7 linked regions of the Macaca mulatta genome follow. The protein of the gene in region 2 purifies or fractionates together with the protein of the main gene of each other region. This does not show direct contact. Links are inferred from orthologs where the notes say so. Each region holds a gene or a part of one and is shown on either strand. Other genes may lie near its edges. The genes, in order: PPP2CA, AXIN1, DVL1, AMER1, LRP5, HIPK2 and GSK3A.

The links.
Region 1: the proteins of AXIN1 (region 2) and PPP2CA purify together in Homo sapiens (affinity purification with western blotting; 4 studies listed by BioGRID and IntAct, with this or other methods). This does not show direct contact. The link is inferred for Macaca mulatta from reciprocal best matches to the Homo sapiens genes AXIN1 and PPP2CA.
Region 3: the proteins of AXIN1 (region 2) and DVL1 purify together in Homo sapiens (affinity purification with western blotting; 3 studies listed by BioGRID). This does not show direct contact. The link is inferred for Macaca mulatta from reciprocal best matches to the Homo sapiens genes AXIN1 and DVL1.
Region 4: the proteins of AXIN1 (region 2) and AMER1 purify together in Homo sapiens (affinity purification with mass spectrometry; 4 studies listed by BioGRID and IntAct, with this or other methods). This does not show direct contact. The link is inferred for Macaca mulatta from reciprocal best matches to the Homo sapiens genes AXIN1 and AMER1.
Region 5: the proteins of AXIN1 (region 2) and LRP5 purify together in Homo sapiens (affinity purification with western blotting; 3 studies listed by BioGRID). This does not show direct contact. The link is inferred for Macaca mulatta from reciprocal best matches to the Homo sapiens genes AXIN1 and LRP5.
Region 6: the proteins of AXIN1 (region 2) and HIPK2 purify together in Homo sapiens (affinity purification with western blotting; 3 studies listed by BioGRID). This does not show direct contact. The link is inferred for Macaca mulatta from reciprocal best matches to the Homo sapiens genes AXIN1 and HIPK2.
Region 7: the proteins of AXIN1 (region 2) and GSK3A purify together in Homo sapiens (affinity purification with mass spectrometry; 12 studies listed by BioGRID and IntAct, with this or other methods). This does not show direct contact. The link is inferred for Macaca mulatta from reciprocal best matches to the Homo sapiens genes AXIN1 and GSK3A.

What each region holds. Positions count from the first base shown.
Region 1 is NC_133411.1:143,102,164-143,104,929, reverse strand, and holds part of PPP2CA (serine/threonine-protein phosphatase 2A catalytic subunit alpha isoform), read left to right. Parts: intron 1-746; coding exon 747-836; intron 837-1,322; coding exon 1,323-1,484; intron 1,485-2,619; coding exon 2,620-2,738; intron 2,739-2,766. UniProt on the Homo sapiens protein: Catalytic subunit of protein phosphatase 2A (PP2A), a serine/threonine phosphatase involved in the regulation of a wide variety of enzymes, signal transduction pathways, and cellular events.
Region 2 is NC_133425.1:1,567,056-1,571,325, forward strand, and holds the start of AXIN1 (axin-1), read right to left. Parts: upstream 2,801-4,270; 5' UTR 2,526-2,800; intron 2,410-2,525; exon of another isoform or gene 2,118-2,409; intron 2,065-2,117; exon of another isoform or gene 1,917-2,064; intron 1,889-1,916; 5' UTR 1,887-1,888; coding exon 1,809-1,886; intron 1-1,808. UniProt on the Homo sapiens protein: Component of the beta-catenin destruction complex required for regulating CTNNB1 levels through phosphorylation and ubiquitination, and modulating Wnt-signaling.
Region 3 is NC_133406.1:239,336,955-239,341,074, reverse strand, and holds the start of DVL1 (segment polarity protein dishevelled homolog DVL-1), read right to left. Parts: upstream 2,801-4,120; 5' UTR 1,294-2,800; coding exon 1,093-1,293; exon of another isoform or gene 762-1,092; coding exon of another isoform or gene 702-761; coding exon 592-701; intron 1-591. Other genes in the region: MXRA8 (matrix remodeling-associated protein 8), read right to left, coding at 3,387-3,601, 4,079-4,120. UniProt on the Homo sapiens protein: Participates in Wnt signaling by binding to the cytoplasmic C-terminus of frizzled family members and transducing the Wnt signal to down-stream effectors. Plays a role both in canonical and non-canonical Wnt signaling.
Region 4 is NC_133426.1:70,579,698-70,583,724, reverse strand, and holds the start of AMER1 (APC membrane recruitment protein 1), read left to right. Parts: upstream 1-1,227; 5' UTR 1,228-1,398; intron 1,399-1,878; exon of another isoform or gene 1,879-2,107; intron 2,108-4,027. UniProt on the Homo sapiens protein: Regulator of the canonical Wnt signaling pathway.
Region 5 is NC_133419.1:6,178,531-6,182,030, reverse strand, and holds part of LRP5 (low-density lipoprotein receptor-related protein 5), read left to right. Parts: intron 1-907; coding exon 908-1,005; intron 1,006-3,265; coding exon 3,266-3,500. UniProt on the Homo sapiens protein: Acts as a coreceptor with members of the frizzled family of seven-transmembrane spanning receptors to transduce signal by Wnt proteins.
Region 6 is NC_133408.1:179,611,713-179,615,780, reverse strand, and holds the start of HIPK2 (homeodomain-interacting protein kinase 2), read left to right. Parts: upstream 1-1,268; 5' UTR 1,269-1,638; coding exon 1,639-1,657; intron 1,658-2,019; exon of another isoform or gene 2,020-2,203; intron 2,204-4,068.
Region 7 is NC_133424.1:53,291,604-53,295,103, forward strand, and holds part of GSK3A (glycogen synthase kinase-3 alpha), read right to left. Parts: intron 319-3,500; coding exon 235-318; intron 79-234; coding exon 1-78. UniProt on the Homo sapiens protein: Constitutively active protein kinase that acts as a negative regulator in the hormonal control of glucose homeostasis, Wnt signaling and regulation of transcription factors and microtubules, by phosphorylating and inactivating glycogen synthase (GYS1 or GYS2), CTNNB1/beta-catenin, APC and AXIN1.

The sequences.
Region 1 (2,766 bases), on a different chromosome or scaffold from region 2:
AAAACTCATTGCTGATTATTTCAGAGAATCAACTTCCTTTAATGTTCAGGTGCTCCTGACTCTTTCCACTGTTATACCCCTTTAGGGATATTTTTTAGTAGATATTGATAGCATTCATTCAAATTTTAAAAAATTAATTTGACAAATGTGTCCAGCTTTTTAAAGTGCATTATTCTTTATATCAGGCACTGAACTATATGATGGGATCACAGGGGTGGATGATGTAGCCCATTTATTCTCTCAGACTGTTTTTGGACAAGTCTGGGAGATGTAAGGAACTAATTATTGTGCACACAAAAGAACTTATAATAAAATTTTATGAGCATGGAGATACTAGTCTCTGGCAGGGGGCAGGAGTGATATCCAAAAAGTTTTCTCAAAGGAGCTGTTTGAGGTGGAGTCTGGGTGTGACAGTGATGTTCTATTAGGAAGAATGGGAGTGTACTCAATCGTTTAGAGTGGGCTGGAGCAAAGCTGAATCCTGCAAAGTCAGGCCTCATTCAGGCAGAGCACAGAAACACCAGAGGGGCCAAGTGATGGGGGCGTCCAGCTCATTTTTTAAAAATTTTTATAGAGACACAGGGTGTTGCTGTGTTGCTCAGGCTGGTCTCAAACTCCTGGCCTCAAACAGTCCTCCTGCCTCAGCTTCCCCAAGTGCTGGGGTTACAGGCATGAGCCACTGTGCCCAGCCAAGAATGTTTACAAATTTTTTAGGTGAGGTTAACCTTTTAAACCACTCTTTTCAGATCTTCTGTCTACATGGTGGTCTCTCGCCATCTATAGATACACTGGATCATATCAGAGCACTTGATCGCCTACAAGAAGTTCCCCATGAGGTATGACTTTTATTTGATAAAATCTTTCCAGAAAACTTATTAAAGAGTGGAGAGGTTTAATTATAAGATCATTAGATGTATTCTCTCTTATAATTCTCAAAAACAACTTGAGGTGTGAACACTCTTGTCTGCCCTATTGTTCAGAAGAAGCTGACATTAAGAAACCTGCCAAGATCACAGCAGCTGTAGAGCTGGGCTTATTAGGACCTAGGTTGTCTGTCTTAGACTCTGAAATTTGCATAATATAGGCAGATTAATTAAGGCATGTTACTGCTGGGTCCCATGGATGTCAGCTGTGTCTCATAAAGTCTACTGGAAAATACATATTACTTGATGCAGATGTTTGACTTCAACTGCATAATCTACTAGCGTTGTCCACAAACATCACTCAAAGAGGGTGACTTAGGGTGCTGCTTCTGATGAATTACTCAAATAATGTGTTAACCATGTTTGTAAAAGGCATTTTATAACGAAGTTATTTTTTAGGGTCCAATGTGTGACTTGCTGTGGTCAGATCCAGATGACCGTGGTGGTTGGGGAATATCTCCTCGAGGAGCTGGTTACACCTTTGGGCAAGATATTTCAGAGACATTTAATCATGCCAATGGCCTCACGTTGGTGTCAAGAGCTCACCAGCTAGTGATGGAGGTATGCTTCTATTATTTGAAATATGACTTGTTTTTTAGTAAACTTAAGGAGAGAAGATATTAGGGAGTTTTAAATTAATGACATTTGTGAGAAATTCCATCTATTCCTTCTGATGAGTTTACCATTATAGCCTGAGCCTTTTCAGTAGATGCACACTACTAGAATTAAAAGCTCAAGTTGTTGATTACAATGAATCCATTAACATGTTTCCAGAGAAATCTGAATGACTAGGAAGTACTTGGGATCTAAGAGTGGGAAAGTAAGATGTAGGGAGTTGGGGTGTGTATATAATATTTTATGATCCCAATGTCATTTCATATATTTAACATGTATGTATGTAGGAGAGACTGGAAAGAAATACACCAAAATGTTCTAAGTGGTCCTTTGGATGGTAGGATTACAGGTAATTTGAAAGAAGAGAAGGGAAAGAGGCAAAGGTTCTTGACATGCACACTGATTAGCATGTTTCTAAAATAAGGTGCTAATTAGATTAATACTAGTACAACTCTGTGGTTATCAATAAAATCTGACTTTGCTAAAGATAAATAAATTTGTGAACAATACTAAACAAAAAGTAACAAAAGTAGCTCATGCATTCAGATGGATGGATTTTGAGGAAACAAGGCTGGAGATCCTAGAGGCATATCACATTTGTTCCTGGGCAGTGAATGACTTACAGGCCTTTACCTGTAACTGACGAAATTGGTAAGGTTCTGATCTCCAGGATTAGGTATCTACTTCTCTAGGGAATGGCCACTTAAATACTCATTCTTAAATCATGTTTTAAGACCACTGCAATAGAAGAGGCTAATGAGACACCATCATTTACAGCAAGGCAGATACATGAGAAGCAGTTCATTCTTCGGTGGTCGCCACTGTTTGTTAAAGGCTTTTTTTTTTTCTTTTTAGTACTAAAAGCAAATTTTGTAATTAGGGGGAAAACAAATACGTATGTATCTTACAGGTTGTATGAAGTACAGCAAATTATTAAGTCAACCAGAAAAAAAGTATTAACATTTCTTAAGCCCCTTTGGCAGGGGTGGGAATGAGTAGAGATTTTTTTCTCTCTTGAGTGAAGTAGCATTTAGTTGAATTGAGGGAGTAAAGTAAGATTTTTGCCTCCTTTTCCTTGTAGGGATATAACTGGTGCCATGACCGAAATGTAGTAACAATTTTCAGTGCTCCAAACTATTGTTATCGTTGTGGTAACCAAGCTGCAATCATGGAACTTGACGATACTCTAAAATACTCTTTGTAAGTATTTCTACTTGAACATTTTATT
Region 2 (4,270 bases):
AAAAAAGACAGACATTTGTCACAGATGCCAAACACTGGCTCTCTACAGATGCTGAACTACTGTACTACAGAAAACAGCAGCAAATTCTTCCAAAACTAATGGGTTTTATTGTTTTGGTTTTTTTTGTTATTTTGAGACAGGGTCTCGCTCTGTCGCCCAGGCTGGAGTGCAGTGGGGCGAGTTCAGCTGACTGCAGCCTCAGCTTCCCAGGCTCAAGCAACTCTCCAGCCTCAGCCTCTCATATGGCGGGGACTACAAGCAGGAGCCACCAACGCCCGGCTAATTCTTGTATTTTTTGTAGAGATGGGGTTTCACCATGTTGGGCAGGCTGGTCTCAAACTCTTGAGCTCAAAGCAATCTGCCCATCTCGGCCTCCCAAAGTGTTGGGATTACAGGCCACCTTGCCTGGCCCCAAAACTAATGTTTTAATTCATGTGTGAACCAAGTCCACCTTAATTATTTTAAACTATTTTTCAGAGCCCAGGAGAAAATTTTTTTATAATCATGTGTATTTTGGGCTGTCAACTGACAGAAGACTTTTTGGTGTCCCTGGAAGCACATGAACCCCTCCACAAGTTACTGATGTTGTTAAAACATATCCCAATTCCTGAAATCTCTGGGTTTCCACATGGAAGCACACCAAGCATTTAGTGTACACACACGTAGACACCACACATAAAGCAGTTATGTTTACTCAGGTTAGCATCAAATGCCCGCAAGCACTGAATCTGGCCCACAGCCTGTAGCTACCATCAATAAAGTGAGTCCATAAAATGGGCAGGATGCCTACAAGTCTGATATCGTATTTAAAATTCCCTTTCATCACTGCTTAGGCATATGCCCCAGGCACCATGGCAGCAAACTCAGTGCTACCTACGTGTGTAGGTATTTATTTTACCCAAACTTAACTTTTGAAATTTTGATTTACATGGAGGATGCAAGTAAAACAGCACGACTCTGACATCTTCCCAGCTGTCCACTGATTTAACTCTTGAAGGTTCAGGGCTACTATTTCACATGTAATTTGTTCCCCCATCACTGAAATTCTCAGTGACTAATGTAATCCGAAAAAGTCTGCTTAGCTTTTCTGAAACTAGAAATCCAAGTCAACACCAGCTGAAAATCAAACAAAAACACTGTTTTTCATGCTTTCCCATCCTTGTCCCCGAATGGAGATCTTAAAACTGAAACTGAGGCCAGGTGTGGTGGCTGACCCTTGTAATCCCAGCACTTTGGGAGGCCGAGGTGGGCGGATCACCTGAGGTCAGGAGTTTGAGACCAGCCTGACCCACATGGAGAAACCCCAACTCTACTAAAAATACAAAATTAGTCAGGTTTGGTGGCACATGCCTATAATCCCAGCTACTTGGGAAGGCTGAAGCAGGAGAATCGCTTGAACCTGGGAGGCGGAGATTGCGGTGAGCAGAGATCGCACTATTGCACTGCACCCTTTATCAATTATCTTAGAAGGGGCCAGGCACGGTGGCTCACACCTGTAATCCCAACACTTTGGTAGGCCGAGGTGGGCGGATCACCTGAGGTCAGGAGTTCCAGGCCAGCCTGGTCAATACGGTGAAACCCCGTCTCTACTAAAAATAGAAAAATTAGCCGGGCGTGGTGGCGCATGCCTGTAATCCCAGCTACTCAGGAGGCTGAGGCAGGAAAACTGCTTGAACCCAGGAGGTGGAAGTTGCAGTGAGCCAAGATCGCGCCACTGCACTCCCAGCCTGGGCGACAGTGCGAGACTCCGTCTCAAAAAAAAAAAATTATCTTAGAGGGGGCGGTGGTCACGCATGTAGTCCCAGCACCTTGGCAGGTTGAGGCAGGTGGATCGCTTGAGGCCAAGAGTTCAACAACACTTGCTGGGCAATATAGTGACACCTCATCTCTACAAAAAAAAAAAAAAAAAAAATTACCTTATAGATGGGCTGAGAAAAATCCCTAGAGAACTGACATGTTTTTCTCTACTTTCTTCAATGCCAAGCCGAAAGTTTCACTGCTCAGGCAATGCAGCTCTGGTTTCACTGGGGGCTAAATTCCAAAGTGCCGGGCGGGAGGTAGAATCTAGGAACCACACCCAAGAGAGAGACGAGTGTTTGGGCAGCGAGGCATCAAACCTGGAGGGCACGAACGCCTGAGCACGCGGCTACTCAGGCCGCACCGCGACCTGGACCCGGTACGCGGCCTCGGCGAGGGCGGGCGGGAGTGCCCTCCTCCGGGGCAGCCGGACTCCTGCCGACTTCTGGGAGGCGGGGAGGGCTCCAGGCCCGGCTCTCCCGGAGTTCCCGCACGCGATGCGCGGCCCCTGCAGCTGCTCCGCGCCCCCAGACGCGCCCGAGGCCTCGGAACTCCAAGCGGCCCCCGCGCCGCCGGTCTCGCTGCCCAGGGACACCCCTGCCCCAGCTCCCCGCGCGCCCACCCCCTCGGCCCCACGCGCGTCAGCCACCCGCGCCCCCCGCCGCTTCCGGGTCCCGCCCGCCCGGCCTAGCGCGGCCTAGCCCGCCCCGGCGCCCGGCCCTACTCACCCGCGCGCGGAGGCGGCGGGGCCCCGGGCCCGGCTCCCGGAGCGGCGCGGCGCAGCCCGGCCCATGCGCTCAGCGGCAGCGCGGCGGGCGGGACTCGGCGGGGGCGCGGCCCGGGGCGGCCCCCATCTCGGCGGCTGCGGCTCGGCGGCCCGGGGGCGGACGCGGGGCAGGCCGCGGGGGCGCCGCAGGGGCCCAGCCGCCAGCTCCCACCCGCCCGCTCCGCGTGGACGCGGCTCCGGGTCGACTCCGGCCGGCTCTGGCGGCGGCAGCGGCCACGATTGCCTCCGGAGCCGGAGCCCGAGCCCAGAGCGCCGAAGCCCAGGCCCGAGCGCCCCCGCCGGCGGCGCCCGGAAGTGCGGGGGCGGGGCCGGGGCGCGGGGACGAGGTGAGAGCGCGGGGCGGGGCCTCAGCTCGGGGCGGGGCCGACAGCGAGGGGACGAGGTAAAGAGCGTGGGGCGGGGCTTCAGGCGCGGGGCGTGGCTGAAAGCGCGAGGATAAGGTGAGGAGCGTGGGGCGGGGCAGACAGCGATTGGACAGGTGAGGAGCGCAGGGCGGGGCCCAAGCACGGGCGGGGCCGGAAGCGAGAAGACGAGGTGAAGAGCGCAGGGCGGGGCCTTGGGAGTGGGGCTGCGGCCAGGGAGCAAGGCGGGGCCCGCCTCGAGCCGAAGAGGTAACGAGCGTGGGGCGGAGCCTCGTGCGCGGGGCGGGGCCGGAAGCGAGGACGAGGTGAGAAGCATGGGGCAGGGCCTCTGCGTGAGCGGGAGAGGGGTGTGGTCAGCCCCTGCCGGGGGCGGGGCGCGGCGGGGGCGTGGTCGCGCGGTCTTCCCGAGGGGCGACGCGGAAGCAGAGCCGCGGCGGCTGCGGCTTCCCGGAGTGCGGAGTGGGGGAGGCGCCGCTGCAGGTGCTTGGAATGGCTGCGACCGTGGGGAGCGCTGGGCGGACTGCCCGCCCCGACGGGCGCACGCGGGGCGCAGCCCTTTTCTGCCGCCAGTACATCGGTGGGCATCCAGGGGGCTGCAGGCCTCGGGGCTCCCTGCCCCGCCGGCCCTGGACCGGAGGCCCCCGCGGAGACCGCCACGGCCTGCCAGCCGCCGTGAGGGAAGCAGGCTCCCAGGAGTTGGGTGGTCGGCAGGCAGGGATGGCCAGGTCCCTTGGAAGGTGGCGTGGGCTCCACCCTCCTGAGTCCCCAGGCAGCCGGGACTCACAGCGCCAGGGAACACATTAGGCCCCAATATGTGCTGGCTGTCACCCGGACAGGAGCCACAACCTCCAAGGAGCCCACCGGCTAGGACCCTCTGCCTTGATTTCTCCCAGGCACCATCTAGTATCAGAGAAGGGTTCTCCTTCCCTCCGCTGCCCAGGCCAGCCTGAGAGGAAGGCCATTGGAGTGTCTGAAACCCTGCAGCCCCTCCCCTGGGCTGTCTCCACAGCGGCCCTGCCAAGGGGTGCAGTCCAATCCTGCCATCTTGGCTGCCCAGATCCGTGCCACCTGCCCTGCAGGCCACAGAGCACAAGGCCACAGCCCCAGGCATCCCACAGCAGAGAGGCACAGGACCCCAGCAGCAGCCCCCACACCAGCTCTGGCCAGCCCAACCCTGTCAGAACCAACCCTCTGCTCTCCACCCAGGCCTCAGCCGACCATCAGGCCCTGCCTCCCCCAAGGAGGAGGATGTCAGTACCAGGATCAGCCCTGTCCTTCCCAGAGCACTGTTGGGCCTGACACCTCCCAGGACGCCCCAGGCAGC
Region 3 (4,120 bases), on a different chromosome or scaffold from region 2:
TCTGAGCTGCTCTGGGAACGCAAGTGCTTTGTGACTCAGTGGGGACCGGGCAGACAGGGAGCTCAGAGCAGGGGTGGGCGAATAAAGTTTCAAGGCCACCAGTGGCCCTTGACCTCCGCCCTGTCACAGGGACCCCGAAGAAGGGGGCCAGGAGAACCTCTCTTGAGCCCTGGGGAGCTTCTGCAAACCCTAGCAGACAGGTTGGTGAACCTGTCCCCCCACGTCTCCCCATCCCAGCTAGGAAACCCCACCCTGCTCCCTTCTCACTGACACACACACCCCTGACCCCAGCCCACACCAACGGCAGGCGCTCCCGGCCAGCCCCAATGGAAGGGATGCCGCCGACCGAGTCCGACCCGGGCCAAGGCAGGACTCTGGACCGGGAGGCTGGGAGCAGGGACGCCGGGACCCCAGCCTGCCATCGCCCCACACCACAGACAGGTGGGCACGCGCCGCACGCGGGCCGAGGCCGCCACCCGCATCGCACCTGGCGGAGGCCTGGACCGCCCAGGACCCCCGCCCCGTCCCCGCGCTGGCAGATGCGACCCCCGAGCGCGCGCCAGGCTCGCGCAGGCCCCGTGGCCGACTGACCCGAAGTCCTGGTCCATGGACTTAAAGAAGAATTTGTAGGCGTGCACGGGCCGGTTGCTGAGCACGTTCTTGAAGTCGGCTAGCGTGACGCGCTCGGGGGCCACGGGCAGCTTGACCAGGTACGGCGTCTCCTCCTCGTCCATGTGGTAGATGATCTTGGTCTCCGCCATGGCGCGGCGGCGGCGCGGAGCCCGCGCACTCAGGGCCCGGCCCGGGGCTGGGACGCGGGGCGCTCCCCGCCCGCCCGCCTGCGCCCCACCCGGCCCGCGCCGCTCCCGGCCCCGCCGCGCCGAGGCCCCCGGGCGCCCCCGCTTGACCGCCCAGGCCCCGGCCGCCGCCCCCGGCTCCCGCGCGCGTCTCGACTGCTGCCCCGCGGCCCGCGGCCGCCCATCCGCCCCCGGCCCGGGAGCGGCGCGAGGGACGCAGCACGGAGGGCGCGCTCAGCCCCGCCGCCCTCCCGCCTGCGCCCCTCGGGCCGCGCAGTTAAAGGGACCGCCAGGCCCGCGGCCCTGAGCGTGGCCGCGGGGGGGCGCCCGAGCGCGCGGCGATGACGTCACGGGAGCGCGCGGCGGGGGGCGGAGCGTCGCTGCGCAGGCGCAGGCGCAGACGCAGGCGATCCTCGCTCGCCCCGCCCCGGGCCCCCCCCCGCGCTTGGGCTCGCTTTCCCCTGTGCTCGGGCGCCCGCGACACTCGCCGGTGCATCCCCGCGCGGCCTGGCTCTGGGCCCGTGGACGCCAGGGTGCTCGGGGTGGGTGGAGGGACCTCGGGGACGCCGGGTGCGCGGCGCTGAGGTGGCGGCCGGTCCCTCTGCGCCCCCGCGAAGGCGCCCGACTCGCATGCCCTCTGCCGGGTCCCACGGGGTCCGACGCAGGCCGAGGGGATGCGGGGCGCGCGTGGGCGCGGGCGTGCACGGAGGCGTCGGAGCGCGCGGCGGCGGGAGGGATTTCGTCCTGGGGTCCTCCGCAGGGCAGGGGAGACTTCCGAGCCTTCCCCTGAGGCCGCGGGGCGTCCGCGCTCGCTCCTCCGGGGCCCGCGGGGCTGGAGGCCTTCCCAGCCTGACCCCAGCAGGAAGCGCGGAGGCCACTAGAGGGCGGCCCAGGATGGGGAGAGTGAGGCGGGAGCCTGGACGGGGCTGGCGCGGTGGGGCCCCTTGGGCCCCGTCCCCAGGAAGCCGGCAGGAGTCTGGGACTTTCGCATCTATCCGGCCCTGACGATGCCCGCGCCGGCTCAGAGAGAAACCCATCAGTGTAGGTGCCGGTGGTTGACGGTCGGCTTGGGCCTGGGGTCCTGAACCTGCACCCCGGCTCTGAGTGGGAGAGCTGTGGCGTCCGCTCAGCCAAGCCCGGCCAGCTCAGCCGCCAGCCTCTGCCTGGAGCCTGGGCCACCTTCCCACCAGCCCTTGTTTTCCCCAGAGGTCGGAAGCCAGGCAGGAAGACCCCCGAGGGGCTATCTGTTGAGGCCCCAGGGAGGGAGGAAGCCCGTACCTGCCCTGAGGGCCAGACCCATGTTCCCCAGGCTAGACACAGGTGGCCCCAGAGCAGGGGAGGTGGCCCCAGAGCAGGGGAGGAACCACACAGGTGCAGGGGCCTGACCCCAGCCCGTCTCAAGAGAGGCTGGAAGCCAGAGGCCTGAGGCCAGTCCAGGTGCTGATGCCTATGTGGTCTGGTTGGGGCCCTGCCAGGAGCAGCCTTGTCCAGTGATGGTGAGGCCGGAGGCCAGAAGGGGGTGCATTTTCAAGCCACACCTCCCCAGACCAGCCTCCCTTCCTCCCAACCTGTGCTGCTGTGGGATCCTTGTGGGCAACCATCACCCTTTCCCACCCCCACTCCTGGGAGGACAGGAGGATGGGGTTGGGTGGTGATGCCGGCTTCAAGAAGCAGCACTTAGTCGCTGGTCTGTGCTGCCAGGAGCCCAGGCCACTGGCCTTCCTGATCCCGCCACTCGTCCCACCACCCAAACTTGTGCTGAGATCCTGTGCCCGGCACTGATGCCTGAGTGGGAAAGGATTCTAGGGCCAGATCCGTGCTGGCCTGGCGAGGACTCTCTTGGAGCCACCCTGCTGCCCCGGGCTGTCTCTGCCGGAGCCTCCTTGCTCCTGCCCCCTTTGCAAGTGTCTGACTCGTATCCCGCTACTTCCGCTTGCCATCCGTCTGCCTCTCCCGGAGCTCCACGGTCTCCTCTCTGTCCTCAGCCACCGCCACGTCCCCCTTCCCCACATCCAGGTCAGCCATCAAAGGAATATGAACTCCTCCACGACCAGAAGCATGCCACACAGAACTAACTCAAATGACCCCTTCCCAGGACACCAACTCCCAGAGGACCCAGACCCAGACCTTTCAGCCCAAGGAATGGGATGATGTCAGGGGCTTCAGGTGGAGATGAAGACGACGTGGGGATTCCCAGGCCCAGACTCGTACTTTGCCCACCCCTAGGAGATGGAGTTTCAGAAGCATACCTGGGCCAAGTCTAAAAATCAGATGGGGCTTTTATTGTGATGGTGGCAGGTCCACCAGCAGGTGCAAATGTGGGGTGCTGAGAGTGGCAACATAGGCCACCCCAAGCCACCTTCACCCCCTCCCCTGTTCTCAGCCAGTACAGAAGCCAAATGTGGCCCCAGCCGTAGACTCTAGCCTAGGCAGAGTCCAAGGGAGGGGTGTCAGGGTCAGAAGTCACAGGGAGCCCAGTGACTGTCAAGGTGGCTGAGAGCAAGGCTAGGGTAGGGGTGGAAGCAGAGAAACGGCGGGGGGTGCAGCCCCAGGTGGCCCAAAGCAGCAGAGAGGGGCAAGGGCTGGCATTCACCAAGTCACCAGGTCCCTGGGGAGAACAGATGGTGCCTGGAGTCCTGCATGGTACGCGGAGGAGCCCTGGGGAGCTCTCGACGGTGGGCAGCACCCCAGGAGGAGTGGGACTCCTGCCCTGAGGCTGACCCCAGTTTTGGGGCTGCCAGGTTCTGATGGGAGTGTCTTCCAGGAATGTCTTCCAGCCCCCAGTGGGCAGAGCCCAGGAGGGTCTGAGGGCATGCTGGGCATCAGTGGGATTTTGGTTGTGTCTGGGCTGAGCAGGGCCACCCGTGAGCAAAGGCCGAAGGGGTGGGGGCTGTGCTGCCACTTCTGCATATGCCCAGACCAAATTCCAGGAAAGCGGGACCAGCCGCTGGAAGGGGGTGAGCCCGGGAGCACCAGGTGATGCCCCGAGGGGCACAGACAGGAAAGATGCAGCTGCTGGCCCAGCCAGGAGCCCAGGGTCCCCCTATTTGCAGTACTCCTTCCGGAACCCTGGAAGCCAAGGGCGCCAACGGGTCGGCGTCTGTTCTCCACCCTCATCACAGTGGGAGACGCAGGGCAGACCCCCAGCAGGACTCCCCAGGGACTTCGGAGCCTGAGGTGGCAGGGGCCCTGGGCCTGGCTGGTGTCTGCCCTTGGGGGTCCCGGATGAGGTGGAATGGGGATGGGCAGGGCTCTGAGATGGGCTGAGGTAGCCCACTCACCTTTGTCTAGGTCGATGTACTTGGCAGGGAGGGGACTGTGGG
Region 4 (4,027 bases), on a different chromosome or scaffold from region 2:
CAAATCATAATCTTGGTCTAATTCAGAGAATCAAGGTTCTGAGTGAAATGCGAGCAAGTGGCAGTGACCAGAGGCACGAGGTAGGGAGGAAGTCTATAATGGAGATTCTGGAAAACAAAATAAACTTCCAAATCAGGCCTACAAATGAGAATCAGGACTTTGCAAAGCAGGAAAGCATAGCCCCAGGGAAACTTTTATAGTCCAGCCATTCAGATGGGAAAAAAAGTTACATAATGAGCCAGCAGCAGCTCCCTACTCCTCACCATTTATTTAGACTCGGTACTAGGAAGGGAGTCTGATGTTCAATATTGATTTTTGTTGGCAATGTATAGAATGTCATGGAAGGTCATGGAACATCTATATTTCCTATAATATTCCGTGGAAGGTCATGGAATACTATAGAAAAAAAATGAGTTGAACTCTCAGATCTCAAAGATATCAAGAGAGCCTGATGATGCTTACCCTCTCCTTGTGGAGGCGGGGTGATGGACTGGCCCAGAGAAAAAAAAAAACTAATTGGCCAAGGTGTCCAGCAAGTCTGAGGTAGAGCTAGAGTCAGATCCCTAGCAGCCATGTCAGTTCCTGTGCTCTACACATGCAGAGGCAGAAGTCCACCTCTTACCAGTTCAGCAGCTGGATCTTTTCAAGACTGTCAGGACCCAGAAGCAGCAGAGAACACTCCTGCAATGCAAAAATAGCACGCATTGTTCTCTAATCCTTCTCTCTATCCTCAACTTTAATCCACCCACCTCCCTTTTTAGACACGCACAGAGTTTTAGGGCTGGGCCTTCTGGATATTCTTGAACTAGAGGTGGAACTAGATTCTTTGTTGCCTCCGCTCACCTGGCCCTGGCAGCCACTGATGCCACTTAATGTCCTTAGGCTAGAGACCCAAGTTCGGCTGGCTCCCTGCCACATCCCACACACAGTAGCAGACAAGGCTGGTACAGGCCTCCTCATTTTGTCCTCAGCCTGACCTCCGGTTTGGGCCCAGACAAGATTTTCCTCTCGATATTTAGACTTTTCAGGAAAAAAGGCCTGCACAAAGCCAGGCTCACAAAGGATAGGGGGAAGGGGGACTCTGAAGACCTTGGGGATTCCCTCCACATTCCATAGAAGGTGGGAAATTTGGGTGAGGGTCAATCTATGGAAAACAGGTATCATCTCAGAGAAGAAAAGTGAAAGCAATCCTGGAAGGGGAGCCCGGGGCTCTGTATTCCAAATTGGCCCATGTCGCAGGCCGGCTGGGTAACTGTGGGGAGGGGCTTTCCCTACTCGGGGCAGCAGAGGGCCCGTCGGTAACGGGTGGAAGTTGGCCTCTATGGTCTTAGGGGCACCGGTGTGCCAGAGAGGCGGAGGAAGTTAGGGCGCAGGCGCTGCAGCTGGCTTTCCTGGCAGGTGAGTCCCTCCTCTGGGTGGCCTGGCGGCGCGATCCGCAGGGCCTTGTCTCTACGACTAAGGAAGGGCCGGCGGAGGTGCTAAGGGTTTCTGCAGTCTCCCCAGGTTCCTCAACCTCTCTGCCTCGTTACTCCCCGCCGGCCTCTAGCTCAGGAATAAACGGCCTGCTGGCGTCCAGGGCACACGCGAATGCACAGCGGCCACGGAAATGGCAGTGCGTGAAAACCGAAACCGAGCTCCAGGGATCCGGCGAGCCCCATCCGGGCAGGACCGGCTCCTTGAAGCCACGGTGCAGCCACGCCACTACCAGCCCGGCATGGGGGCGGGAGTGGGGAGCCCCAGCCAGTGGTTCCGCACCCTCTCCGCCCCCTGCCAACACCACGCCTGCACTTATTTGCATTTAAAGAGAAACGCACCAAGGAAAACAGTGGGCGGGCCGGGGCACGCCTTCCCACCATAGCGATTGGACCATACGCCTGCCAATCAAGACGCAGATGCCCCACCCGGTGGCCTTGGAGTACTGGGGGAGGGGGTATGGGGGAGCTTCCCAAAGCCTGGGGAAGGGGAGTCAGTGCTGGAGGTGACTGGAGCCGCGGCGGCGGCGGCAGCAGCTGCGGTGGCGGCGCTCTCAGCCGCGGCAGCCGAGGCTGCAGCCCGGCCCAGGGCGGCTCAGCGGACAATAACCAGGCTAGGAACCTGACCCGGCCGGGTAAGCGTTGCGTACAGCCAGGAGCCTCCGCCTGCCCGCGGTCGGGTGCATTCCCGCGTGCTCTGCTCCTACGAACTGGAGAAGGGCGCTAAGGACTGGGCGGGTCGGAGTCCCGGTCGCTCGCCCTTCTCCTTTGGAACCCGGTTTGCGGAGTGTCCGGTGGAGAGGCCGAGCGGCCTTGAGTCCCCTGGGCACAAGCGACCACGGCTGGGGAGAGGGGGGAGGTTGGGGAGGGAGGGTAGGAAGGCAGGCTAGCCTGGGCCATGCCTCCCGGCTTTCGGGGGGGCGGGGATGGGCCCGCACGTGCTGCCGCACAGTCCCGGGAAGGGCGCCGCCAGCCAGCACCCCAAGCCATGCATTTGTAGGCCGGGAGCTCTGCAGCTTTGTTTTAGCACATTTGCTGGAACAGCTGTGTAACGCGGGTACCGCTCACCCCTCACCCTGGCTGCCTGGCTGCCGCCCCTCCCCTCCCCTGTGCATCTCCAGCCTCTCCCTCCTTTCTGCGGACTCAAGCTGGCGTGCTGGCTTGGGCCCGACGGAAACCGGCTTTGGCGTGGATTAGGACATCCACAGACTGCCCCCTCCCCAGAGGAGCTCAGTGGGGCCTGTGGGCTGAGCTCAGTCGCACACTTCCCTTCAGAACCTTGGCCTTGCGGCCCCAACTAGCCGCGCCCCTCCTCCTGGGCCTCCCGGCGCATCTGGCGCCCGCCCCCGCGGTCGGGCAGGCTGGCTGGCAGCCGGGCTCTTGCTGGTCCTTGGGTTAGAGCAGCGGCGCAAGCTAGTCCTTGAGTTAGAGCTGCAAGGCCGCTTTGTCTCCCGCCTCGCCTCACCTCCGTTTCCCTTGGAGGATACTGGCCGCGTTTTTCTCTCCAGCCTCCCGTTTAAAAATAGCGATAGGCACGGTGTTTTGGGGGCATTTCCTTGCCTGAGGCCGAAGGAGCCCTCATTGTAGTACGGAACGTATCATACCGTCTCTGTGTGTACAGGAGAGCTATCGAGGTGGCTAACCCCTCCAACTTCGCAGTTACTTAACATACCCAGCTCTCTAGGCCACTGTCATTGTCTCCTGGAGACACTTCTGACACTGGTGACCGCCCGAACGCTGGACTTTGCTTGGCTCCCCCAGTGGTGAGGGGCTGCGCCGGCTACATGCGTCACAGCCCAAGCGCCTAGGCAGCAGCTGGACTGGTCCCTCAGAGCTGGTCTCCGTTTGGCCAGGCTCCTCTTGGCAAGGGCTGCGGGGTCAAGGCGAGCCTTGTTCAACGCACAAATACCTCTCTCTGCGGCTCTGCCTGCCTGCCTGCTGCAGCGGCGTGGGCATGGGCAAGGCGGAGGGCACTGCACTGTTGGACTGCCTGCCCCACCAGGATTCCAGCAGAGCCCCCTCCCCCAGTGCGGCTCCCCTCATTCGGCCCCACCCACTGCACAGTCACTGCACCATGGTGCACCTCTGGCAGTGGGCTCTCTAGGCCTTTTTGAGGAATAGGACAGAGAAAGCCACTGAGGGACTTGGTAGGCTCTTCTTGGACCTTTGATTAATCTCTGGTGTGGAGAGTCATGTGGGCTGCAGGGCCCAAGCAAAGCTTGGGCACTTTGAGGAGGGGCAATGAGACCCAGTAAATTCCTCACTTGGAGGAAGGCTAGCTCTGGATCTTTATGACAGGAGCCAGGACCACAGATATCACACTACAGCCACCTCCTCCCACCTTGATTAGGCCCCAACACAAACCTCTACTTGCAGCTGGGCATCTCTAGCCCAGGGCTGGACCTGCCCTCTGCCTTGTCTTAGGCCAACAGGCACCTAATGTATCTGCTCTATGTAACTCCCTTGCCCACACCCAAACCCACTCAGCCTACACCTGTCCAAATCTTCTTCCTTCTCAGACCCCAGTTCTGGGCCTACCTTTTCCTTGGTGCCTT
Region 5 (3,500 bases), on a different chromosome or scaffold from region 2:
CCGCCCTAGGGGGCCTAGGAGAACTGAGTCCCTCCGGGCATAACTGACAGTTCCCTTCCCATTACTCCGCAGGAGCTCAGACCTGGCTGTATCCTTTCCAGGATGGCCTTGGAGACCCATCTAAGCCCTGCACCCTTTGGGAAGCTGCATGTTGGGTTGGGGTGCCGTCAGTGGCACTTGTGGAAGGTGCAGACCTGTGTGGGTGTGTGGGCCCGGGGTCCCTTCATCCCTTTGTAGGGCTGGTTGTGTGCTGCCCGGCCCTGGAGGGCAGGTTTACATGGTGAATTTGTCTATTTACTATCTCAGCTTTGGGGCTGGTGCCAGCACAGGCGCTTGTGAAGGGGGTGCCTTTGGAGTGGGGCCGCGGCTCCTCCCTTAGTGTGGCGACCTCCGTGTGTGGGTCAGGGCTGCAGCAGGGACACAGAGCCCCTGAGTGTTCGGAACAAGGTTGTCATTGCAGGAGTTAGACTGTGCGTGATGGAGAGAGGAGGGGCAGGAGGAAAGGTCAGAAGGAGGGTTCCTGGGAAGGTCCCTGAGGAGCCTGGTGAGGTGCTCACTGGTGTGGGGGACACTCAGGGCCTGTGGGGACATCTCCGCCTGCTGGGGCCTGGCCACAAAGGGGACTGATCGAAGTCCCGTCCCTGCCTTCACAGCCCAGCATCTGGTCACAAGGCAGGCACTCGGAAGGGCACGGGGTTCCTTTTGCCTCTCACCGAGACGACCTTCGGGGCAGGTGGCTGCTGCCTACCCTCCCATCCCCAAGTTTCGCCAGCTGGCCAGAGGAAGGGGTCCTGGGAAGCAGGGGTCCAGAAGCCCTCCCTGCAAGGAAAGCCCAAGAGGTGTGGGAGGAAGGAAGAAAGGCCCAGGCTGGCGAGGCTCTGGGTCACCCTGGCTTGGCTCTCCTCAGATCCTGAACCCGCCGCCCTCCCCGGCCACGGACCCCTCCCTGTACAACATGGACATGTTCTACTCTTCAAACATTCCGGCCACCGCGAGACCGTACAGGTAGGACGTCCCCCGCAGCCCTCCATGGCCGTTGGGTTCTCACCAGCCCATGGTAGAGGTGCCTTATCCCCATGCCACTGGTGAGGGGTTCTGGGGTCTAGTGGGCAGGTGCTGGGCCCAGCCCTGCCTCCCTCTGCTCTGCCGATCCTACTAGGCTGCCTCCCCAGATGCACCCAGCGGGGACTGCGTGTTGGGTTCAGAAACCAGTAGAGCCCCGTGTTCTGAGCTGCTCTTCAGCTTGCTCCTGTGGGGGTTACCTTTAAGCCGGGAGATGGCTGTGGAGTCGAGGGGCCGGGGACTTGGGCTCCAGGGTGCAACTGTATGTGTGAGGCCGGCTGTGGAACCCTAGCCATTGAGATGCCCCCTCTTCGTGGCTCAGTCCTCTTAGGACGGGACAAGTCTGTGAAGGCTGCTGCAGCACCCACTGTGGACCCCTAATCGTGTGATGTCACCAGGATGATCCGGGCAGCTCACTTGCCACAGTGGCCTGTTTGAGCCCGGGAAGCCAGCGGGGCTGTTCAGCCAGACACCAGCCCCCGAGCTCCCCATGTTGGGGTCACAGGCCCCACCTCCCTGCTTGGGGAGGGGCAACTGAGAGTGTGGAGAAGTGGGACCCAGGTGTGCTGTTTTCCGCAGGGGCTGGATCAGAGCCTGGGATGGGCAGGGTGAGCCTCCTGACCTTTAACCCAGTGGTGTTAGCCAACAAGGCCCACCTGCCAGCTGCACCAGGCCCCACCCCCAGGGGTGATGGGGTGGGATGGGTTGGGCCTGGGCCAGGCCACCTCAGGGCCACACGTGCCTCGTTGCTTGGGTCCCTGGAGCAGCAGGGCCTCCTGAGTGTGGTGCCGCCTGCCACCTAGTGGCCATTTCCACGAACTCCCAGGCCTGGCTGGGGAGCCGGAACTGCGGCCTCCATTTCCATACCCCTCTGGGTCTGGCCACCTCCCTGATGCCTCAGTATTATATCAAACTGTCATAGTCTGTCCCAGCAGCCTTACGGACCACTGTCTCCAGAATGGTCACATCCACACTGGGCAGGCCAGTCTCACCAGGCCCCTGTCCCACCTCCTGCCTTTGCTCATGGCGTCCTGCTCTGGGCCCCACCGCGGAGACACAGTCCCTCCCCACCGCCTGACCTCGCAGTAGCTGGGCCCCAGGAGGGGTAGCCTGCTGCACTTTTCTCAACACGAGGTGTTGGCTGCACCTTCCCACCCATTGCAAGCCCCTCTGTGACAGGACAGGGGCTCCTAAACACACCACGGTTCCGAGTCTGGACTCACACAGTGGGATGTGGTGTTTCTGGGCCGCAGTTGGGTGCAGGCAGCCTCTGGGAGGATGGGAGGTCAGGAGCCATCTCGCGAGTCAGGTTGCTTGAACTCAGGATGGGAGCATTCCAGGCCCACTGGTTGCTGTGTTAGCCTGTTCTCACGCTGCTAATAATACCTGAGACTGGGTAACTATAAAGGAAAGAGGTTTAATGGACTCACAGTTCCACACGGCTGGGGAGGCCTCACAATCATGGTAGAAGGCAAGGAGGAGCAAGTCACATCTTACATGGACTCAGGGAAGAGAGAGCATGAGAACCAAGTGAAAGGGGTTTCCCCTTATCAAACCATCAAGTCTAGTGAGATTTATTCACTGACACGAGAACAGTACGAGGGAACCACCCCCGTGATTCAGTGGCCTCCCGCTGGGTCCCTCCCACAACACGTGGGGATTATGGGAGTACAATCCAAGGTGAGGTTTGGGTGGGGACGCAGCCAAACCATATCCCTTGCCAACACAGTAACAATGTTAGGGGAACAGTTGTCCAGTTTCCTGTTTTGTCAGGCACTGTTTCTAGCACTTTCCAGGCAGAATCTCATGTATCTTTCACTTTTGAAATGGGTACTATTTAATCCCTCACTTTTATTAATGAGAAACTAAAGCTCAGAGAGGTCAAGACAGTTCCTGGCCAAGGTCAGCTAGCAGGCTCTGGAGGCCTCGTTCTCCGCAGAGGCAGCCTTGCCAGGACCCAGGCTTGGCAGGCTGCAGGGCAGGTGCGGGCATGCCCATGGTAGAGGTGGGGCTGTTGAGGGTGAGCTGAGAGCGTAAGTGATGAGCCCCGGCCACACAGCGGGGTGGGTCCCGAGTCAGGCCTGCATTTTCTGGAGCTGGCCAGTGGACAGGCCTTTCCCGAAGTTCACAGCCTCAAGGCTGCTGTGCCCACCAGGACGGATGTGCCTACCAAATCCCAATCCTCTGTGTGTGTCCCTTTCAGGCCCTACATCATTCGAGGAATGGCGCCTCCCACGACACCCTGCAGCACCGACGTGTGTGACAGTGACTACAGCGCCAGCCGCTGGAAGGCCAGCAAGTACTACCTGGATTTGAACTCGGACTCAGACCCCTACCCGCCCCCACCCACGCCCCACAGCCAGTACCTGTCGGCAGAGGACAGCTGCCCGCCCTCGCCCGCCACCGAGAGGAGCTACTTCCACCTCTTCCCGCCCCCT
Region 6 (4,068 bases), on a different chromosome or scaffold from region 2:
AGATGGAGACCGGAAAGGATAAGAAGTAGTGAGAAAATCACGGGGTTGTTTTTAAGAATGTCATACAGTGTTAGAGATCATTATTTTACACCTTAAAAAGACAGCTTTTCAACTTTTCTAAACCCACGATTTACAGTCGGAAATAAAATTGACATCATGGTCTAGTACACTTGTCCAGTACCTATAATCGAAACAAAAGGTTTATGAAACAATAGTTGCCCTTACTAAGGGCAATGGACTCTAATATTTTCTATTGGATTCCATTTCATTCTTTTTGAAAGCCGGTTGCCTTCTGCTGCATTTATTTTATGATCTATTACTGTATCACGACCCACGGTTTTAAAAACTGTGCCTAAGAGGAGACTCAACAAGTCTTCCTAAGTTGGAGGGGATGGTAGGGCATCCTATCCAAGCATCCGGGAGGCAGCTGGAGAAGCAAACCTGAAGAGGCTCCGGGCTGGGGAGAGTTTGGAGAGTGTTTAGCGAAAGCCCTGATAGGAGAGAGCGCTGTGAAAAGCGAGGACCCAGACAGCTGTGAGCGCCCATTCAGTGATGGAGGGGGGACCCTCGGGACAGTGTAGACGCGAGGAGGCGAAGATCAGGGTGACGTCGAAGCCAGACTCCGGCAGGAACCCAGCGACCACCCCGGGGGCTGCATTTCCGCGGCGTGCACGGTAGGGCTTCGGTGCCTCTGACCTCGCGTAGCTTTCCGAAGCTCCTCCACTCACCCTCCCTCCCCGGGAGCACGGCGCGCGCCCACTCCTTCATTCATTCATTCCACTCCTAACTCCGCGAGCGCCAACCGGCTGTGAGATGGGCGAGCCACTTTGCCAGCCTGGGGCTCTCTTTCGGGTCGGTTCCCTCCCCGCCAGCACACGCGCGCACCCTCGCACCTGGGCACACACACACGCGCGTGCACACACGCACACACACACACACACAAAGTTCTGGGGGCCCCTCTGCGGACCGGCTCGGCTGCGCTGGGCTTGGAGCCCTGCGCCCGCCGAGTCCAGGCCGGCCCTCTCACCCGCTACCCCGGGCCCGCCCCGCGCCCTGTCCCCCCGCGCTGCGCGGCAGCCCCTCCCGGCGCGGTCCCCTCGGGCCGCCGGCGCGGCTCTGCCCTTCGGCTCGGCCTTCCCCGCCTCGCATCCGTGCCATCGGCGCTCGATTGCGCGCGGACTCCCTGTGGCTCTCCCGGCCCCGCGCCCCGCCCCCGCCCGCCGCCCCCCTCCGCCAGCAACTTTTGCGGAGCCCCCGCGCCCAGCCATGCTGAGCTGAGCCCCGCCGGCCCTGGCCGCGCGCTGCCCCCGGCTCCCGCCCCTCCGCGGACCCGCTCGGGGGCCGCGGCCGCTCGGCGCCTCGGCCTCGGCCGCTCCGCCCGCCCGGCCGCCCCGAGCCCCGAGCCCCGAGCCCCCCGCGCCGGGCCCGGGCGGCAGCGGCGGCGGCGGCGGCGGCGCGCCCGGCCCCCTCCCCCGGCGCCGGCCACGGGAGGCGGTGATGCGGGCGCGGGCGGCCTCGGCTGCGCCGAGAGCGGAGACACAGGCTCAAGATGGCAGATTCCGACTGAGGCTGGGGGGGCCGAGCTCGCGCGCCGCTTTCCCGTCCCCGTTGCCATGAACCGCGGACACCCCGGCCCCGATGGCCCCCGTGTACGAAGGTAAGGGGCGCCCGGCCCCGCCGACCCCGCGCCCGCCGCCCGCCGCGGCCCCCGCAGCTTTGTTCTGCCCGCGGCCCCGCGCCCGCAGCCCCCGGCGCCCGCCCCAGCCCCCACCCGGGGCCGAGGGGGCCGCGACCCCCTCCCTCGCCCGGAAGATGACCGGGACCCGGCGCCGGCAGGGTCCTGCTTCCAGGGCGGGGAGAGGGACCGGGGGCGCAGGAGGGGAGGGGGCGTGTGCGAGGGTGGGCGGCTGCCCGCGGAGGGCAGGGGCGCCGGGGAAGGCGGACCGGTGACTGTGCTTTTTATTTATTTGCGATAAATGAAGGTGATGCGGCTCAGCTTCCACCGCCCCCCCACATTACCTTTCGGAGCACCTCCTTTCCACTTCGCTCTCCGCCCCGCGCCCCTTCCCATTTCTCTCCGCGCCCACCCCACGCTCCTTTATTCTCCGCGAGCCTCCGATTTTGGGGGGGCTGTGGAATCGGAATGCACGGGGCTAGGTGGGGAGAGAGATGAAAAGTCCGTGTCAGAGCCAAGCAGAACAATGAAATAGGCGAAAATCTCCCCGCATTAGCGTGTGGAAGGGGACGTGGACTTTGGGTTTTCCAGCCGGGGGAGCGGCGGATACGTTTTCCTGGCTCGGTCTGGGTCGACCTGTGTTGTGCACCTTCACCTGGCGTCGGGGTATTTTTCCCCATTTGCCTTTAGCAAGAAAGAAAAGAATGCAAGGCAGAAAAGCAGTAGGTCTGCCTCGCACACTGTCTTTCGTTTCTCTTCAGTCCGTTCTGTCAGCTTCCAGCCAGAAAGCAACCCAGAATCAACTAAGTTTTTACACTTCGATGTGTTTTTGTGTGCTTGTAGTAGGAGAAATTTTAAACCCAAGTGTGTCTGATTTTTCAGTCGTTTCATCGTGTAAATGTTTGTCTCATGAAATCATTGAATTCGCAGCCTTCACATACTTTTAGTGTGGGTCCCCCTGGCTTTCTTTCGGTTTTGTTCAGATATTCTGTGGATGAAATCGCAAATGAGAGGGGACAGGGTTTGTGTGGCACAGAGGAGGGCACGAGGGGGGAATGTAATCCGCCTGTAAATCCGGAGAACAGTTGTGGCCAGTGAGACAGGGAAGGCGTTAATAGTTTTATCTCTGTTATAAGAGGCTGATTTTAAAAAAAAAAAAAAAAAAAAAAAACTTATCTGAAAAGAAAATCTGTTATTAGATTCAGGGCTCCAAATGAATTAGGTTTCTGGCCTGAATAAAGTTACCAGTCAGGCGCTGGATAACGAGGCTGTAAATAACCTATGGACTGTAAATATTTTTTTTCAGACTCTCTTAGAAACAAAGGGGCTGTTTAGAAGGCAACAGAGAGATGTTATTCCAGGGGCTTTCCTCTTTGATTCTGAAGAACACAAGGTCCATTTAACCATTCAACAAAACAAAACGAAATTTCTGATCACTCCACCACGCAGAATAGAACATGCCGGTGGACATGTGAACATGCGGGAGAACCCATGTCGGGCGTTCATTGTTCATCTGCGTCTACAGGAGGGGGCTACAGTCAATGCTCCCACTGTCTAGAGTGTTAAAATGAAACAATTTTCTCTTTATTAAGTACCTCCTTGAGACTCCCTCTGCTGGACACTCCTGGTGAGTTGCGAGAAGGAACTTGGCATTGAATTCAGAACTATAGTAAACGGCTGGTTTCCCTGTTACTAGGGACCGGGTATGTGAGTTGGGGTGTATTTTGTCAACTTTGTGGAAAGCCATCTTGGGAACTGCACTGTTCTCCTCCTGCTCCTTTCATTCTAAATCCATGTGGAATGTAGGCCATGCCCCCGAGGCTGAGACTTGGCTCTCCCCATTCCTGCTACATTGTTCTTCCAGTTCCTTACGCCAGATAAAGAATTGCAGGTGTGTAGGGTGTTACGGTTTAAGAATAATCATGGATCTCAAAAGTCTCATGAACTGTTTTTATTTGCCAGCCTTCCTTCCCTTTCTCAGGTGACCTCCGTGGTGGCCTCTTTCAGCCCTCGGTTTCCCTCCATCTTATCCATGTGCCTTCTTCATTCTTCCCGCGCTGTGCACCCTTTTATTCCGGATGTTTCTCTGTGCACCTTTATAATTATTTTTCTAATGTTCTTCCCTATCCCACTTCAACCAACCCACATCACTCTGCCAAAAGCCCAGGCCTGGGTGTTTTTGAAAGAGATTGTTGGATATGCTCTACAACAGGTGACCTCTAGAATCAAGGATTAGGTTGCTAGGACCCGCATTCACTCACTGATGATTGTGCCAAGACTCTGATGACCTCCTTTCTCCCGCCATGGTAACATCCGCTGGGTTCAGGAAACCTGATTTTTCCCCTATCTCAATCAGAACACATGGACTCCCTGTGTGCACGCTAAATGAGCAG
Region 7 (3,500 bases), on a different chromosome or scaffold from region 2:
CTTGGTGAAGTGGCGGGCCACCCGGTACACTGTCTCGGGCACATATTCCAGCACCAGATTTAGGTAAAGCTCATCTTTCTGCAGGGAGCAAAGGAGAGGCGTGAGGCACTGTGAGAAGAGTGAGGAAGGGGGAAGGAAGGTGTGCAGGCAGCAGTGGGGGAAAGGCAGGTGGGCAAGAAAATGGCTGGAGTCGAGGTGGAGCAACCCACCACCACCACCACCTCGAGGTCTCACCTTCTCCCCACTGGAGTAGAAAAAGTATCTCAGCCTCACAATATTGCAGTGGTCCAGCTTACGCATGATCTGCAGCTCTCGGTTCTTGAGGGCAAAGGGAGAGAGTCTCAGTATACGACCAACTCTCTCGGCTGCCCCTCCCTACTCACTCCCCACAACAGCCAGGCAGCTACTCCCTGTGTCCCAGCTTCAAGGTCCCCTAGGGTATCCCCCAATTCCTTGTCTCCAGACTACTCTCCTCCCACACGAGCTGGAAGCCTACCGGTTAAACCCAGGCCACAGATATGTTTTCTTCACCCCAATTTTTTTTTTTCTTTGAGACAGAGTCTTGCTCTGTTGCCAGGCTGGCATGCCGTGGCTCGATATCGGCTCACTGCAACCTCTGCCTCCCTGGTTCAAGCGATTCTCCTGCCTCGGCCTTCCAAGTAGCTGGGATTACAGGCATGCGCCACCACGCCCAGCTAATTTTTGTATTTTTAGTAGAGATGGGGTTTCACCACGGTGGCCTGGATGGCCTCGATCTCCTGACCTCGTGATCCACCCACCTCAGCCTCCCAAAGTGCTGGGATTACAGGCATGAGGCACCGCGCCAAGCCACCCTACTTTAAAAATAAAAAATAGGCCGGGCGCGGTGGCTCAAGCCTGTAATCCCAGCACTTTGGGAGGCCGAGACGGGCGGATCACAAGGTCAGGAGATCGAGACCAGCCTGGCTAATACGGTGAAACCCCGTCTCTACTAAAAAATACAAAAAAAACTAGCCGGGTGAGGTGGCGGGCGCCTGTAGTCCCAGCTACTCGGGAGGCTGAGGCAGGAGAATGGCGTAGACCCGGGAGGCGGAGCTTGCAGTGAGCTGAGATGCGGCCACTGCACTCCAGCCTGGGCGACAGAGCGACACTCCATCTCAAAAAATAAAAATAAAAATAAAAAATAAAAAAAATTCAACTTATTGCTGAAATGTAAAAATCAAATGACACCTTCTGATTTTTTTCTCCAAAAGAAAGTTTTAAGAAGGATAAGCCGGGGCTGGGCACAGTGGCTCACGCCTGTAATCTCAGCACTTCGGGAGGCTGAGGCGGGCGGATCACGAGGTCAGGAGATCGAGACCATCCTGGTTAACACGGTGAAACCCTGTCTCTACTAAAAATACAAAAAAAATTAGCCAGGCATGGTGGCGGGCGCCTGTAGTCCCAGCTACTCGGGAGGCTGAGGCAGGAGAATGGCGTGAACCTAGGAGGCGGAGCTTGCAGTGAACAGAGATCGCTCCAGCCTGGGCAACAGAGACTCCGTCTCAAAATAATAATAATAAATAAAATTAAAAGGATAATATAAAATTTATTTATTTTTTTTTAAAGAACCTGGCTATGGGCCGGGCGCAGTGGCTCAAGCCTGTAATCCCAGCACTTTGGGAGGCCGAGATGGGCGGATCACGAGGTCAGGAGATCGAGACCATCCTAGCTAACCCGGTGAAACCCCGTCTCTACTAAAAAATACAAAAAAATAGCCGGGCGAGGTGGCGGGCGCCTGTAGTCCCAGCTACTCGGGAAGCTGAGGCAGGAGAATGGCGTGAACCCGGGAGGCGGAGCTTGCAGTGAGCTGAGATCCGGCCACTGCACTCTAGCCTGGGGGACAGAGCCAGACTTCGTCTCAAAAAAAAAAAAAAAAAAAAAAAAAAAGAACCTGGCTATGTTAGCCAGGATGGTTTTGAACTCCTGGCCTCAAGCAATCCTCCTGCCTCAGCCAATCAGTTTAAGGATTACAGGAGTCAGCTACTACACCCAGCCTTAAAATAAAAATAAATAAATAAATAAATAAAAACAGCTGGGCTCACACCTGTAATCCCAGCACTTTGGGAGGCCAAGGCAGGGGAATCACTTGAGGCCAGGAGTTTGAGACCAACCTGGTCAACATGGCAAAACCCTATCTCTACTAAAAATACAAAAAAATTAGCTGGGCATGATGGCGCATGCCTGTAATTGCAACTACTTAGGTGGATGAGGTATGAGAATTGCTTGAACCCAGGAGGCAGAGGTTGCAGTGAGCCGAGATCACACCACTGCACTCCAGCCTTGGTGACAGAACAAGATTCTGACTTTAAAAAAAAAAAAAAAAAAAAAAAAGAGACCATCCTGGCTAACATGGTGAAACCCCATCTCTACTAGAAATACAAAAAAATTAGCCGATAGTGGTGGCACGCGCCTGTAGTCCCAGCTACTTGGGAGGCTGAGGTAGAAGAATCGCTTGAACCCAGGAGGCGGAGGTTGCAGTGACCCGAGATCGTGCCACCACGCTCCAGTCTGGGTGACAGCACAAGACTCCGTCTCAAAAAAAAGAAAAAAAAAAGATTGCACATCTAAATCCAGTTTTTAGTTTGTCTTGAAAACTCAGGGCTGGGCACAGTGGCTCATGCCTACAATCTCAGCACTTTGGGAGGTCGAGGCAGGGGCAGATTACTTGAGGTCAGGAGTTCAACACCAGCCTGGCCAACATGGCAAAACCCTGTCTCTACTAAAAATAAAAAATTTAAAAAAAAATTAGCCGGGCGTAGTGGCCCACGCCTGCAATCCCAGCTACTCAGGTGGCTGAGGCACGAGAATCGCTTAAACCTGGGAGGCAGAGGTTGCAGCAGGCCAAGATCGTGCCACTGCACTCCAGCCTGGGCGACAGAGTAAGACTCCATCTCAAAAAAAAAAAAAGAAAAACAAAAAATCAGGTGTGGGCATGTGAGGCTTGCCCCCTACCTAGCACAAGCAACAACAGACAGGTGGTGGCCATCCAGCTCACCCTGGTCCCATGGAAGCATCTGGATCCTTGAACTCTATCTAGGATCCTGAGTCCCAGACTCCAGGCATCGGACTCTTCCCAGAATGTGGTCTCATCATTCTTACCCATTCTCTATTCCTCTGTGAGGCCTAGGAACTCCCTGCCCCCACATCCCTCTCACTTCTGGAACTCAACTCCAATCAAATTCTGAAACCCTAGAGCTCCTCCTGCCCAAGGGCCCTCCCTGCCAAGACCCAGGCCCTGGTCTGGTTCCTTTCCAGTCTAGGCTCAGTTCTCCTACATCCAGACTAGCCTAAGCTCCAAATGCCAGGCCCTTAAACACTAATTATTCCTCAACTTCCACTTCCTCCACCTCCTTCTAGCTCCCTGAGCTTCTCCTAGCTCACGGGCACCTCCATTCCATCCTGCACTGGCCAAACACCTGGGGAGAGCGCGACCTTCCGAACCCCCTGCGCTAGCTCTTCCAGGTCCCTTTCTCTTCTGG